Linked DNA regions of Schizosaccharomyces pombe. The protein of the gene in region 1 interacts with the protein of each later gene in a biochemical or structural test. Each region holds a gene or a part of one and is shown in the gene's direction. Other genes may lie near its edges. The genes, in order: sap49 and prp11.

What was found.
Region 2: the proteins of sap49 (region 1) and prp11 form a complex in vitro, tested with the Schizosaccharomyces pombe proteins (one study listed by BioGRID).

The regions. Positions count from the first base shown.
Region 1 is NC_003424.3:2,987,674-2,991,582, forward strand, and holds sap49 (U2 snRNP-associated RNA-binding protein Sap49), read left to right. Parts: upstream 1-1,699; 5' UTR 1,700-1,722; coding exon 1,723-1,834; exon of another isoform or gene 1,835-1,891; coding exon 1,892-2,787; 3' UTR 2,788-3,144; downstream 3,145-3,909. Other genes in the region: mca1 (transcription factor), read right to left, coding at 1-756; chaperone Rot1, read left to right, coding at 3,300-3,434, 3,484-3,598, 3,825-3,909.
Region 2 is NC_003421.2:517,810-521,739, forward strand, and holds the start of prp11 (ATP-dependent RNA helicase Prp11), read left to right. Parts: upstream 1-1,702; 5' UTR 1,703-1,730; coding exon 1,731-3,930. Other genes in the region: rad16 (DNA repair endonuclease XPF), read right to left, coding at 1-94. UniProt on the Schizosaccharomyces pombe protein: ATP-dependent RNA helicase involved in pre-spliceosome/complex A assembly and mRNA splicing. Bridges U1 and U2 snRNPs during pre-spliceosome assembly and enables stable U2 snRNP association with intron RNA.

The DNA.
Region 1 (3,909 bases):
AGGATTATCATTTATTTCGTTACCAAGATCTAAAGAATCGACCATACGGAGAGCCATACCCAGTAAAAGCCAGGCTTTAGCGCCTCTACAAGAGCCCAACTCAATTAAGCAAAGCAAGAGCAGGCAAGTGATATTAGTCAGTGAAATATCCTGGAAACGACAAGGAAGCAGTGAAAAGGCTTGGTTTGCGTAGTAATCAGATGCTGCAGTTGAAGATTTAAATCTATTGACTTCCTCTTGACTGAAACGAGCAGCGTGAGCACATATACAAAGTACGAGGACTGGCGGAGCAGTATCACTTGCAATTTGAGACGTAATTTGGGCCTTATTAAATATCCCAAAAAGTTCGGTATATGAAGTTTTAAGAAATATGTCCCAAAGCTGTAATAACTTTCTACTGGTTGGTAGCCTTAACTGCTTCTGATAGTCACCAAAGCTATTAATAGAGTAAGTAAAATCCATGTTAGGAGATGATGGAGAGAGGATCGTAGGAGAAAAAGGATGAGAGCCCAGATACGGTTGCACTATACCAGTAAGAGGACTCAAGGTTCTGGCAGCGGAAGATGGCTTTTTGCCTCGCATATTCGGTCGATCAGGCCAAATGCATTCAACTTTGTTGTTACTGCAAGCTTGACATGATGGCTTTTCACCAGAACACTTTATTTTTTTCTGCCTACACCGAATGCATGCCTGAGATACTTGACTGATTACTCGCCTTTTTCGAGGCACAGCATCTTTTTCGACAGCAGCAATCATGTCGAAAATAAAATACTAAAATGAAGTAATAAAATATTCTGTGTCCTTTTAAACCGTTTAAAAACCTAGATAATCGAAGAAATCCTGCGTTGAGTAGACAGGTCTTAAAAAAGAAAAGAAAAGAAAAGCAGACGTGCCAATTGTCTGATCGTACGTCTGTTAGAAAAAGCTCACGAGCTTAAATCAGAAAAAATAAATAAGCAATAAACGTAAAGGCTACGAACAGTCCTTTCGAAAAGTTTGCAAGTAGAAAATTAAACATAAACAATAATAGACTTAAGTGAAAGAAAAAAGGGGCATCTAGGACTACACAAGTACGCTTTTTCAAAACACCAACATCACAGAAATATTTTGATTAAAAACACACTCGAAAAGCTATAAAATTCAACTGAAGTCGTGGTATCACCTGAAGGGTGAAGATCATAAGAAGGTTACAAAGACCACATGGGAGTAAAAAGCCCATCTAGGGTAACATAAATAAGCCCTCAGTTGTGTTCAAAACTACAGCAGCAAAAATAAATATACATGGCCAAACATCGTTTTTACAAAAAGTTAATAAATGAACCTATTAAATGTACTAGTGTACGATGGATGTAAGGAAATTAGGGCTGTATAAAGAGATAGGTTGCTATAAAAAATATTTCGTCAGTCTACCATTCACAACTGTACCTTCAACTTGAATATAATTCAATCTCATGAGTAAAATTATAAAATAATAAAAAAAAAACGAAGATTTAGTATTAAAAATCTCCATAAATGTGTTTGGAAAACGCTGGACACTGAAATTTTAACGATGAATACTGTAATTTAGTTTTCTATTGTGCTATTTGGTGCTCGTCATTAAGTCAATAACGAGACTATGCACCAATTTCTTGAATCTTCTACCAGCGTCTTCAAACGTGTCTATCTATTTATTCTAATAAATTTCTATAATAGACACTTTAACTTATTTTTACTTATTTATTAATGAGTATTCGAGAAGACAGGAATCAGGATGCAACTATATATCTTGGCAATCTTGATGAAAAAGTAACGGATTCTATTTTGTTTGAGTTATGCCTGCAGGCAGGTCCAGTTGGTATGTAATTATTCGAGTGTTGGTTGTATTTGTGGCTTTCGATACTAATTCATACAGTAAATATTCATATTCCAAGAGATAGAGTAAGGAATAGTCATAATGGCTTTGGTTTCTGCGAATTCTTACACGAACAAGATGTTGAGTATGCATGTCAAATTCTGAATCAAGTAAAGTTGTTTGGAAAGCCTATAAGGGTCAATAGAGCTAGCCAGGACAGAGGAGTCAATACCTTAATTGGTGCAAATTTATTTGTTGGCAACTTGGATCCTCTTGTTGATGAACGCGTATTGTACGATACATTTTCTGCTTTGGGACAACTTGTCAAGGCACCTCAGGTAGCAAGAGACGAGAATGGAAGGTCGAAAGGTTATGGTTTTGTTAGCTACGATTCTTTTGAAACCGCTGATGCAGCCATTGAGGCCATGAATAATCAGTTTTTAATGAATAAACCAATTACCGTGTCATACGCCTTTAAACGCGAAGGAAAGGGTGAACGTCACGGAGATATTGCGGAAAGAAAGCTAGCAGCAGCCGCTAAAAAGAATAAAGTTGCCGTTACTCCTCAGAGTACTCTGCCTCCAGGATTTTCACCCGCCACTCCTGCTCCAACATCTGCTGCTAATACTCCAGCAACAATTGCTGCTACATCGATACCTCCTGTACCGAATGTTCCTCTAGTGGGAGCAACTACTGCCGTCCCTCCCTTGTCAATACCTAATGTTCTTCCTTTCACTGCTGCACAGCATTTCCCTGGAATGCCTGCTATGCCAATGATGAATGTTCCAATGGGCCCTGGAGGTGCACCACTTGTCCCCCCTCCACCACCAGGAATGGTGATGGCTTCTCCTTCTCCTGCTGCTGCTACCATACCTGGTGCTCCTGTAATGCCAAACATACCATTTTATCAAACAATCAATGCACAAAATGGATACAGTCAACAACAAAGGAGGTAAAATATTTTAAAAAGAAGCAAAATAACTACCATTGTTGCTCAAACGCCGGCATAGTAAAATAGCTGAGATTGATCCGTATGGTTGATTTTTTTTTTAACGTGTACAGTAAAAAAAGTGGAAGCTGAGATTTATCTTATTTAAAAGAAATTAAAATTGATGTTTGTTTATATTTTACAGTTTGACTTTTTCTAGTAATGAGTTTTACTTCGTCCCTAAATATCGGCAATATAGTCTATAAACGACGCATTAATTCAATCCAACATATTTTCAGATACATTGAATTATGTATACAATCCAAACGAAAGTATAGTCTAAGCATTATATTAAATATAAGCTGCTAATCTCTTGACCAATATTAGTGAAGTATTATTTTTGACTCGTTATCCCGTAAAACTAAATAAATCAAGTACACGAAGACTTGTGTCAACAACCATATAGAAGTTTTTTGCATAAACATTGGTAACAGCTTCTTATTCGACCCTTTAGAAAACTATAAGAAAGCATTCAGCACAATGCATCTTCTTTATCAAATTGGTTTGTTTACCTGTTTGTGGCTCACCCAATATGTTGGTGCGGAAATTGATAATTACGATGAAAATCTAGTCGGAACTTGGTCTTCCAAGTCTGAAACTGTTTTGACTGGCCCCGTAAGCTAACTTTTGATTTTCAAAAAATTGTCTAACTAACCCTCTGCAGGATTTCTTTGACCCTTTGGATGAGGATTTCTTCGAACCTGAATTACCGGGTATTAGTTATAGCTTTACTGATGATGGCTTTTTTGAGGAAGCTATTTACATAATCAAATCAAATGGTATGTGATAATACTCTATAATATGTAAAATCTTCTCCAGTCAACACCTACAGTGTGGTTGATCCAAGGAATTAAAGCCGATGAAGACGTAACTATTGGGATATACGGACTACTTTCTCGTTCATGTTTAGCGAAATTCCCCAAGTAACCAACTTTCTTCCATTTGGAAGGATATGTTGGAGAGAAGATATTATTTTTCTTTAATATTTTTGCTAACCCAATTTAGCTACAAAGCCTCAATGTCCCAAAGGCTTTTTACAATGGCAGCATGGAACTTATGCTATCAATGATACCGGTACTTTAGTATTAAC
Region 2 (3,930 bases), on another chromosome or scaffold:
AACCTGGTGCAATTACACACAGACCATCCTCTTCAATAAGTTCGTTAAAAACCTGCTGCTGGTAAGCAAGAGGCAAATGAACCTTTGTTTCCATATTTAATGGTGGTGTTATTCGTAGAGATTTTCCAATTTGCAATTTTGATTTCTGAAAGCTGTTAAATACTTTGATGCGAAAATTTTCCAATTTGGATGGAATAATCAACTCTATTTCTATTTCCGTTCACAAATGTGTTAAATAAAAAACAGTAGCATGAGATAGACTCCTTCTTAGGAATTTAGGCGGATCGTGAAGTTAAGAGACTCTCAAGGATGATGAAAGGAAGAATCTGTACAAAACAAAAATCCTATATAAGACAATGAATTTAAAAATGATTACCAACTGATAAAAGTATCCAAGGAGAACCAAATACAAATATTTAACCTAAAGATGAAAGAGTGAATGGAATACAGCAATCAGTAAAAATGAGCAACCAACTATACATACCAACTAGAGGTTAAACTAGTTTCAATATATTGGGTAAAATAAATTACTTAATATACTCTTTAACCATTGCTCAGTTTCGGGCATAGTTCATGCCTTAGCTTAATTCTCCTTAATTAGATACTCTACATTCAATCTTTCCATGTATTCACGTTGGGGTATCCCATCGCTTGTATTTGGACAACCATATTTTTTAAATTTTCTTTCAAAATGTAAGATTTATTTGCTGTCGGTTTCTAACTTCATTACATGCGTATAACCATTGCTCATCCTAAAAACAATTATCCCAGTATTAAGTATATCAAATTATAAAGCAATACCAGAAAAATAATGCCAGCTATTAATACTATCACTGTTAAATCGAGTAAATGGCGAAAAAATACACTTAAAAAAAATAAAAATAAATATACACATAAATAATTTTCTCTTTCATTTGGCATTACTAAAGAATTTTCGTTTTTTGGTTTTCTGCTAAGTCAATATTATTGGTCGAAGAGCGCAAAAACATAAACATTATAGAAAAAGTATAACATTATGTAAATTTCAATTATGCTTTTTTTTTTTTCTTTTTTGGAATGGAAATAATGGCTTTTCTTAATTTATGTACGCTCTAAATTATCTGACTTATTACATTCTATTGTAGATGACTGTTTAACAGACATTTGAAAGAGTACCTTACTAGTAATCAAGAATTGTGGATTCCAAGCCTTAACCCCAATAGTTATTTACATAAAAAAAGAAATATTGTAAATAAAAAGAGCTAACTCGCCTATTCGCCAATCAATAAAATTTTTTATCGTCTTTTATTTCTCGGTTTTCCGATATTATCTTTAGTACAAAAGCAATAAAAATTCAGCAACAATCAAAATGTAAGCGGTGTTGAAAAAATTACTTATATACCAGTGTTGATTATTTTTCCGAGTTTTACTGGTTAAGTTGAAGGTCCAGTGTAGGGAACCATAATTAAATTTTAAATAACTGAAATAAAAAATGAATATTACTTCTAAGATTTATAAATTGCACAGAATTCAGGTTGCTTTACCGACTTAACTGGCAAATTCATTGCTTTTTAATAAACCCCATATGACTTGTATAAATAATCATAAAGAGGTTAACTATAATAATGTAAATTATATCTAGTAGTGAACTAATATCATATGCATAATATATATTGCTATATAAAGTAATTTATGTCGTTTACTTGCCTCATTAAAACTCTTCGTGTACATATCACAACACCCAGTTTTTGATGTCTAGAAGAACACGATCAAGGTCGCCTCCAAGGCGATCCTACAATAGAGAAAGAAGAGATTACCGAAAATATGATGACTCTGAAGATCAAAAGGGTGCACGGTATAACCGATACGTAGACGATGTATCAAGTCGACGAGATAGGCATGATTCTTTTCGTTCTCACGAGTCTAATAAAATTAGAAGAGATAATTCTTGGAAGCATGATAAGTATAGTTACGAAAAAAGGTATCAAGAGCGAGATCGAGAGTATGCGAGATCAAAGAATATTCCCGATCAGTATATTGGTAGGTCACCGCGACCAACATCTCATAGACATGCTGAGGAAAAAGAAGTAGACAATAAAACTAAATCAGATGAAACAAATCCTGTATTACAAGGTTCCGCAACTGAAATAAAGCCTCAGCCTAGACGTTCTCGATTTGATCGAACTGAGAGAGTTGGTGCTTCTTTAAGTGTTTCAGAAATTCAATCTGAAAATCCACGAGTTGATGTAATTCCCAAGGATAAAGCTGTTGAAAATAATCATCAACGAAATGCTGAAAAGCCAGTAGCGTCAGACAAAATTACGGATGCTAAGCTACTCGCCAGGCTAGAACGAGTTAGAGCGTGGAAAGAGTCAAAGGCAAAACAGGAGGCTTCCAAGAAGGAGGAGCACAAGTTGAATACAAAGCCGCAGGTTACAGCCAAAGACCAGAATGCTATGCCTTCAACTGGTATATCCGGGTTTGAGATTAATCGCCAAAAAGATACTTCGGATATGAAGCGAAATAACCGAGTTCACATGGATGATGAAGATGGTCCTAGGCGTATGAATCTTGAAGACTACCAGGAGCTTTGGGACCAAGAAGACCGGGGTATGCTAGGAAATGAGCAAGCAGCTAGCATGGAGGAAGACGAAGTAGATCCTTTAGATGCTTACATGGCCTCTTTGGTTGGTACCACTGATACCATAAGGCCTGGTTTATTAAATACGGAGGTCATTGATCCGAATGCAAACGATGACGAGCGCATGGTAATTTCAGAGACTTTGGAAGAGGAAGAAAATTTACTTGCTCTTGCTGCAAAACGATCAAAAAAGAAAGACGTAATCACAGTTGATCACTCAAAAATAAATTATGAAGATTTCAAAAAGGATTTCTATGTTGAACCTGAAGAGCTCAAAAATCTGTCACCAGCTGAAGTTGATGAACTACGGGCTTCTTTAGATGGTATTAAAATTCGTGGTATTGATTGCCCGAAGCCAGTTACTAGTTGGAGTCAATGTGGTTTATCTGCCCAAACCATAAGCGTGATCAATTCCTTGGGATACGAAAAACCAACCTCTATTCAAGCACAAGCAATTCCAGCGATTACTTCTGGCAGAGATGTAATTGGCGTAGCTAAAACAGGAAGTGGAAAAACCATTGCTTTTCTTCTTCCTATGTTTCGACACATCAAAGATCAGCGCCCATTAAAAACAGGAGAGGGTCCTATTGCAATAATAATGACTCCTACTCGTGAATTGGCTGTGCAAATTTTTCGCGAATGTAAACCTTTCTTAAAGTTATTGAACATTCGTGCGTGTTGTGCATATGGAGGTGCCCCTATTAAAGACCAAATTGCTGATTTAAAACGCGGTGCAGAAATCGTAGTTTGTACTCCTGGACGTATGATTGATGTTTTAAGTGCGAATGCAGGACGTGTTACTAACTTACACCGCTGCACTTATTTGGTTTTGGATGAGGCCGATCGTATGTTTGATTTAGGATTTGAACCGCAAGTCATGAGAATTATTAACAATATTCGACCTGATCGGCAAACCGTACTATTTTCAGCTACCTTTCCTCGTGCTATGGAAGCCCTTGCAAGGAAAGTTTTAAAGAAACCTGTAGAGATTACGGTTGGCGGACGGTCGGTTGTTGCTTCTGAGGTTGAGCAAATCGTTGAAGTACGGCCTGAGGAAAGCAAGTTTTCTCGGCTATTAGAGCTGTTAGGTGAGTTGTACAACAATCAACTTGATGTACGTACACTTGTTTTTGTGGATAGACAAGAGTCTGCGGATGCACTTTTGTCGGACCTTATGAAACGCGGGTATACAAGTAATTCAATTCATGGCGGTAAGGATCAACACGATCGCGACTCAACCATCAGTGATTATAAAGCAGGAGTATTTGATGTATTAATCGCAACTAGTGTAGTTGCTCGTGGGCTTGACG